Linked DNA regions of Cricetulus griseus. The protein of the gene in region 2 interacts with the protein of the main gene of each other region in a biochemical or structural test. Links are inferred from orthologs where the notes say so. Each region holds a gene or a part of one and is shown on either strand. Other genes may lie near its edges.

Region 1 (4,399 bases), on a different chromosome or scaffold from region 2:
CATCCTTGGTTATTCTTGACCTCTTCAAGGACACCCCCACCCCCGCCACACACCCACCATGTTCACTTTTCCCTGACATACTCAGTGCCTCAGTGAGGGTGAGACCCACAAAGTGGGTGCTCAGCAAAGGGGTGGAGTATCAAGAGATGTAAAGAGACTAGTCTGCTTATGAAGGAACTGGAAGATACAGTGACATGTCCTGTCTCTGTAGAGGCTGCCCAGGGCAGCACAATCCTGCATCCTTAGAGCTGAGGAGCCCCTTTCATTGTGTCCTCTAGTTCCTGTCACTCACTCTTCAAGAGCCGTGTCTAGACTATGAAGTCTTTGAGACTATGACCTATTCCTGAATCTCCACTTTACTGCCCAGGCCTGGCAGTATATAGTAGATAGTCATCCACTGGCTCCCTGGATAGAGTGGAGCTCCTTCCTGTTCTCCCTGTGGTCAGGGACTTTTGTTTTCCTTGATCCTTGACTGATGTTTTCCATCTTGTAGGCCAGCGTAGAGCTTACTCAAACAGTGAAGCTTCCCTACCTGTTCACAACCACACCAGCACCCCTTTCTCAGAATTCCATAATACTTTAGTACTGTGTCTATTTATTCCCCCAAAATATTCTTAGGTATACTGGATGGATGGCTCGTTTACTGTTCTGTCTCAACTAGTTCAGTATGGAGGAGGCTGGTTCGCTGAGGTAGAATTGTAGAGTCAAGCTTGTACACAGGGCAGAAATAGATACACAGGAAACACCTTCAGGAGACGTATTTGGGCTCAAGATGCCAAAAGTCTCTTACCAGTTAATGCTTTCAAAATGGAACTAGCTATCTTAGATTGGTAGAGCAATCTTTCCTTAAAATAGTGGAGCAGTGGCCAAGATTGCTGTAATGGGGACTCCTGTGTTGAAAGGGAGTTTCATTGCTCCCCCCCAACTAAAAGGCCATGGTCACTATCACAACTCTGCTTAGCCCCTTAACTTACCAGTTAAAAGATATTGCTTCTGGCTGTTGGTTTCTAGTTTCACACCACAGAGAGATGAGTCAAATGGTGTGTAGACATACTGAACATCCTTGGCCTTCTCGAACCCTTTAAACATCTGAAAGACAGTTACAGAAGAGCAGCAGTGCATCAGGGCAGGGCAGCAGGTTAAAAGATGCTCATTTCTTTCCAAACGTTAAGCAAAAGTCAAATTCAAGTTGGGTGCACAGATGACCTCACTGGTGTGTTTGTTTATTTTTAAATAAGTCTAAACCTTGATTTATTCCAGGGAGGTGGGGAGGTCCCACGGACAAAGAGCTATAGGACAGGCTAGACAGTGAGTCCCCACCCTGAACAGTCACTTGGTTCCTATGGTTCCTGCCCATACTAGTTCATATAGTTCCCCTTCATCACCTTCCTCAGGAGACCTGAGTCTGTTACCTGACTCTCACCAGGTTCATCCCTCCCATAGCACAAGCCCCACCCCTCCATCAGACCATCATGGCTCAGCCCCAGTCCTGCCCCATGTACCTTTATCTGTTTGATTTCATACCGGATCATTTTTTGAGTGTCAGTAGGGTCTTCACTGGCAGGAACTACCTTCTCACTGGAGATTTTGGCCCGGATTACTGCACAGGGAAAAAAGTGTGGGGGAGAGGGGGACTTCAGCACTGTGGGAGTGTGCAGTCTCAGGTCTGGATGGCCTGGAGTCCTCTGAGTATCCAGAGACTGGCTCACATGTTTTTGGGTTCTTAGCAGTATGATGTATATGAGAGAAGGGGCTTGGAATTTATTCTGCAGTGGTTGCCAGGCTTCAAATCCTTTGGGGTTATTAGGTCCTTAAACTGTGTTTTGTCTGCCTTTTAACCTGTCAGTTTCTAGAGCTCAAGTTCTCCATAGCCCTGGGTGTATCGAGCAGAAAATAGGAGTCCTTTCAAGGCAATTGGTACCAGACCTGTCTATTGATACATCTTAGAACCTCATAACACACCTACAACTGATAGTAGATAATGTTTATGGAATTTGTAAATATCCTCACTCCCCACTGAGGAAGTTCATCTCTTGCTATCTAATCAAGAACTGTTTTTGTTTGTTTGTTTGTTTGTTTTCCTGTATTGAATGGTGAACCTAAAGCCTCACACAGGAGAGTCAAACACTCTGTCACTGAGCTACAGTCCCGGCCCTGGAAATTTTGTTTAAAAAGTTCTTGCTCTCTGTCTGACCTTGCACTAGGCATTAGGCTCATTGACAGCGTCATCGTCCTGCAGAAGATGGAGAACACTTTATAAAAAAAAAATCAGCATCCACTAGAAAGGGGGCAGCAAGGAATCAAAAAGCCTTTAGAAAATGAAGGGTGAATAGTAGTTTGCCAGGAAGTCAAAAGTGTGAAAGAGGGGTATCCACGTAGTGGGAGAGAAAGGACAAAAGGTGTTAAGTCCTGAGGTGGCAACTTCAACTGCAGGCAAGGAGGCAGGTGTTACAGTGCAAATGCCCCACCCGTTAGGAGTTCTGAAACTTATTAGATAGCTCTAGTGACAGCTAGGGTCCATCAAGCTGAGCTGACAGGGACTACTCTGGAGATCTATGATAGAATATTTATTCTCCTACAAATCAGACTTTGTACTTCCAAGGTCAACAAAGCAACAGCATGTCTGACCTATCAGCTGCAGCAGGAGGCACCCGTCCAGGGTCGGAGCTCCACCCCTTCCCTCAGATTCCAGGTCTACAGCTTTGCCCAACACCAGTTTTCCCACAGGCAACCCCTGTTGTGGTCTTCAAGAGCCACGGACTCACCTAGAGCTGAGTGGCAGACGTGCTGCTGGGGGTGCGCAGGAGCGCAGGTGCACGCCTCACCCAGCCCCGGGGGCCGCAGCAATGCCAGCAGCCGCAGCACCAGCGCCCAGCTCAGCGCATCTAGGGAGCTCCAGGGCATGACACTGCAGAGCCCCAGCTGAGCTCGTGGGGTCTGCCTGTCGTAACAAACAGCCCCTCCAGGACTCCTCCAGAAAGCCTAGTGCAGTCCAGTCTTTATGAGGTGGCTTTAGGGCCAATCCCGCCCTTCATGGGCTCCTCCCTCCTTTGGCAGCAGGCCACCCACAGCCGCAGGACCCAAGGCCCTCTTGACCAGACCGACAGACCCAGTAATGCAGAGGGAAGCGGGCAGATTCCGAAAGAGGCAGCAGCCTGAACGGAGATGGAAGACACAGTGTTGAGGGCAGAGAGAGAAAAGCAAAGACCAGCGCAGACACAAGAAGGCTCAAAGATGAGGGACTGAGGCTCCTGCAAGAGGAGCAAGTGAGGGGGAGGCATAGACACAGGAAGACACAAGCCAAGTCAGAGGCAGACAGAATTACAACAGGCAAAAGAGACAGTGACAGAGGAGGACGGACCCCTCGCTGAGCTGCATACTGGGAATGAGACAAGCTACTCAGGGCTTCTTTCAGCCGCAGGAAGTGTTTTCAATGCCCTATTTATGAGGCTCCAAAGCAACAGCAAACAGTCAGGGAACAGGACAGACAAAGTTGGGGTGTGTGTGTGTCTTGGCGCTGTCGGCTAGGGGGTGGGGAAGGATGTCAGAGAAAGTAGCCAGTGCTTTAAAACCCTTTCTCACAGCCGGAGCCTCAGGCTGCAGAGAGTTGAGGGCAGTTCTTTCCATAGAGCTTAAAACCAGGGTGTCCAGTTGGTCAGGGCAAACTTTGGGCTTCTAAGCTCCTACTGCACATCATTGCCCCCTGGAGACGCCATGTTGCAGAAGGTGGAGCCGCTTAGCAAACAAGCCAGGCACTCCGGTCATTGTGACCCAAGCCTTGTCCACTGTTTGTCAGCAAAGCGCTCCAAGAATCTGAATGAAAAGAAATTCGTGGAGTGACTGCCTCAGGGAGAGCTGGAGGCTGGGTCCTGATTCTGGCTGCCACTGGGTCGTTTTGTGATCTTTGCCTCTTTGGGCCCCAACTTTTTCCTCCATAAAATAACACTGAATTACATAATTCCTCCCTTTCTTCATTTTACAGTCCAGAGCATCAAACCCACATTTCTGATCACAACAACACTCCATTTTTTCATTATAAAATCTGACTTTTCCCTTCTAGTGACAGCTATGTCCTTGAGAAGACACCAGTTAGATGGCAATGGCGATGTTTGAAAAGAAGGGAGTTGGGAGAGAACAAAATCAGACAGAGACAGGTGGTAGGTCCAGGTGTCTAGAGTCTTTCTTCACACAATGCTCAGACCAAGATTGAGTTGTCACTCGGGGGAGGGGGGGTCTTAAAAGAATCTGCCCAGTCTTGTCACTTGACAGATGTGAGGGCTAAGAGGTTCAGTGCCATGAGGTGACTGGCAGGTGAGTGGCAGAGAGAGCTAGAATCTTCATCTGACAGTGTGCTGTCTGTTGCTCCCCTTACCCCATCATGTTCCTACTTGGGCCTGCA
Region 2 (3,645 bases):
TTCGATACATTGTAACCTGAGAGTGTAAGGCTGTTTGTTCCCATTTCCTCCCTAAGTGTTTATTTACAACAACAAAAACGAAACTAGAACAGAGGCTCATTCTGTCAGGCTCTAGACCCGTCCTGATTATTTGAATGTCTTTGGGGTACCTGAAACCTGAAGCCCTGGGCCTCTGGGCGCTGAAAGATAGGCCCAAAGCACCCTGCTCAGTTCTGACAACAGTAAGGTCACTACTGACTGTTTTCTGTTGCCTGCCTGGAAAGGTGGCTGGAGTGGAAGGCAAGAATGGAAAGAGCATGGCAGATACCCACCAAGGATCAGTGGCTAGTAATAGGGTCTCACTTTGGAAACTGTGTAAATGTTTGCCTGAATTGGCTGGTCCTAAGCAAGAAACCTGTCTTCACTGTGGCTGAGCAGAGTCTCTGCTCAGATGGGGAGGTCTGAGAGCACAATGGGGTATCTTGTTGTAGTGGTTTGAAAGACAATGGGCCCCAAAGGGAGTAGCACTATTAGGTGAGGTCTTGATGGAGGAAGTATGTCACTGTGGGGGCAGGCTTTGAGGTCTCTTTTGCTCAAGCTTTCCTCAGTGTGACTGTTAGTGGACTTCAGTGTGACTGTAGGTCAACTTCCTGTTGCCTGCAAGATGTAGCACTCTCGGCTGCAGCACGACATCTGCCTGCACGCTGCTGTGCTCCCCTTCATGATGATAATAGACTGAACCTCTGAAAGTGTAAGCAAGCCATGCCAGATGGTTTCTTTGTAAGAGTTGCCGTGGGCATGGTGTCTCTTCACAGCAATAAAAACCCTAAGACACTTGTCTAGGGACAATGTCTGATCTGAAAATAGTCTGACCCTCAGAATAGTCTAGCTCAGGTGTGGAGGAGTGTCTGGTGTCTCTACCAAAAGCCAGGGCTTCATACCTTGGTCAGGACAGAAGCCCCACTTCCGGTCATCATCATAGGTAGCTGTGGTCGCACACCATATTTTCCCATCATTGCGACCGGCACTGGTGCAGCTCTCATATTTGTTGCCCAGGAAAGTGAAGGGGAAGACACATGGAGCACCTTCTGAATTTCCTCCCACAGTGGACATAGCTGTTGGGTAAGGAACACAGGTCAAGGGGCAGCAGAGGATCTAAGGCCACTACCAGGAAACAAAGACAAGATATTGACATTAACATACACTCACTGGAAAGGGATGCTGTGTGTGGACAAGTGGGTATTGAATGGCAAAATGCTTGCCTCTGAGGGTCAGAGAGAGGCAGTGATACCCACCGGTCTCTGGGCAGAATCCATATTTCTTATCTCGGTCATAGTCCTCAGTGGTGCCACACCAGCGGTAGCCGTCTGTGCGGCCCTCGGTGGTACAGCTGTTGTAGGAAGTGCCCTGGAAACGGAACGGGAACTTGCAGGGCTGTCCATCTGCATTGCCTCCCATGGTAAATAAGGCTGGGGAAAGAAAGAGAGGAAGAAGATGCCACTGAGAGAGATGTCTGCCTGGGCAGAGCTGGCTAGTCAACCACTTGCTGGCTCATGCAAACCAAATGGTTGCTGTGTTAAAAATATTAATTACAAACAATCTCTAGGGAATAGAGAGATGGCTCTGCAGTTAAAAGCAACAGCTGCTCTTCCAGAGAATTCAAGTTTGGTTTCCAGCACCCAGGTCAGACAGTTCACAACCATTTGTAACTACAACTCTGGGGAATTTGATGCCTCTGACCTCGGAGGGTACCTGCACTCATGTGTACATACTCACATAAAGACCCACACACCTACACATAATTTAAAATGATAACATAAATCTAAAAGGCCACTTTCCCCTCATTATAGTGAAGATCTGCTCCTCCGAGAAAACTCCAGTCCTTTCTGGACAGTTTTACTGCTGCTGTGGCCCCTGCAGAATGGAGAGGAGAAGGAGGCAGGGACAGCTGTTGTCTAAGCCTCCCGTTCTGAGAACTGCAGGATAGGGCCATGACTGGAGAATAGAGAGCGGTAGAATCAAGGTCAGCCTGTCTGTCTTGGGCTCTTCCAAGCTTTCTGTCCCTCTATCCACTCCAGAGTTACAAAATGGTGTGGATCTGGAATTGCCAACTAGCAAAACCACAAGTACGTAACAAGGACCATCTGTGCACAGCAGTGCCAGAGGTGACATCACCAGGCCTGTTAACTCTACCACGGGCTGAATGGAGCCCAACCCCTGGCATCCCAATGCAGAACTTGGGGGTGGGGGTCTCTATCTTCAGTTCAACCCTAAACAAGAAACCTTTCCTAATGAAGCAGGAGGTGTGAGACCTAGGGAAGAGGTGAAACTGAGTCGAGACTCTGGATGATTTAGAGTGGGGAACAGCTAAGTGACCACTCGGATCCCACCAGCTGTGTTTCTGCCACCCAGAAGCCCATCTCCTCTGGGACCCACACGCCTCCCAAAGAGAAGGTTGGAGAGCAGACACTGAGTCAGCCATCAGGAGGGCCTGAGTAATCAGAATTTGCTGTTCCAAACCCAAACACGTGTGCACTGTGCGTACTTGCACCTGGCTAAGGACCAAAGAAATGGCCAGTGTCTGACACAGAGGGAACCTTTCCAAGCTCGTGAAGGTGGAGGCTGTTTCTGTATCTATCCATGAAGCCTGTTCTATCAGAAGGGCTGAATCAGAGGTTTCTGTCTTTCCTCGTGTCCTACTGGGAAATGCAAGACACAGACTTTTCTTTTAAAATCCCTGGTTTGCTAATAGTCAATTGCTTGAGTTTTAGTACATAGTTTAGCTTCAGTGGTAAAAGCATAAACAGGCTGTGGGTAGAGATCAGTGGTGGAGGAGAATGTGTCTAGCATGTGTGAGGCCATGGGTTGGATGTCTCAAAGAAAGAAGGAAAAGGAGAAATGTAAACAGGAAGACAACTAGAAACTCTTTGTTTCTTCCCTTCTGTCTGGATGATTGGTGCCAGTGTTGTTTTGCAATAGGGACAGGGAGAGTTGCAAACATACATACACAATTATATACAACTACAGTCCTTCCTCAACCCAAACAAACTGCCCTTAATTAGTCCATACCCCAGAGAGATTTTATGGGCTGGGGAATAAGCTAATACTTAGAAGTATGGCTGTATTTTCTCCCATTTCTCCAACATTTACTGGGCTTCTGATCTCTGGAACCATCAAGTGAGATGGCCTGACCAAATATGAAGTCGTGCATACTGTTAAAACGATTTATGATTAGAAAGCATATCCAGGATGTTTTCAAAGTTCCCCTTTCCGCACTTTTACCTCAAGTGATGGTAGATGGAGAAAAAACGTTTTTGAGCTTGAATGAGCACGGGGTGAACTCGCGAGCGCGCGCGCGCACGCACACACACACACACACACACACACACACACACACACACACACACACTGAGTAGAGCTAGGTGTCTTTGCCATGACACAAAGACAGAAATCAGAATTAGATGTCATAGCTGTGACCTCTTACACTGACTCTCAGTACAGTAGGACCAGTGTGGGAGAGAGGGCTAATACGCTCAGATTACAGACCCTACTTCAATCAAGGCTTGGACTGAGCCTTGTTCTCCTCCCACAGCTAAGCCTTCCATCCATCTCTGTGCCTCAACTCTCTTATCCTCCTGTTTTCCTGTCCTCCTGTTCTTGAGCCCT

The links. The genes of interacting proteins can lie anywhere in the genome.
Region 1: the proteins of Mmp2 (region 2) and Timp4 form a complex in vitro, tested with the Homo sapiens proteins (2 studies listed by BioGRID). The link is inferred for Cricetulus griseus from reciprocal best matches to the Homo sapiens genes MMP2 and TIMP4.

What each region holds. Positions count from the first base shown.
Region 1 is NC_048601.1:29,592,044-29,596,442, reverse strand, and holds the start of Timp4 (metalloproteinase inhibitor 4), read right to left. Parts: upstream 2,905-4,399; coding exon 2,766-2,904; intron 1,601-2,765; coding exon 1,503-1,600; intron 1,090-1,502; coding exon 975-1,089; intron 1-974. UniProt on the Homo sapiens protein: Complexes with metalloproteinases (such as collagenases) and irreversibly inactivates them by binding to their catalytic zinc cofactor. Known to act on MMP-1, MMP-2, MMP-3, MMP-7 and MMP-9.
Region 2 is NC_048596.1:168,546,835-168,550,479, reverse strand, and holds part of Mmp2 (72 kDa type IV collagenase), read right to left. Parts: intron 1,449-3,645; coding exon 1,275-1,448; intron 1,095-1,274; coding exon 921-1,094; intron 1-920.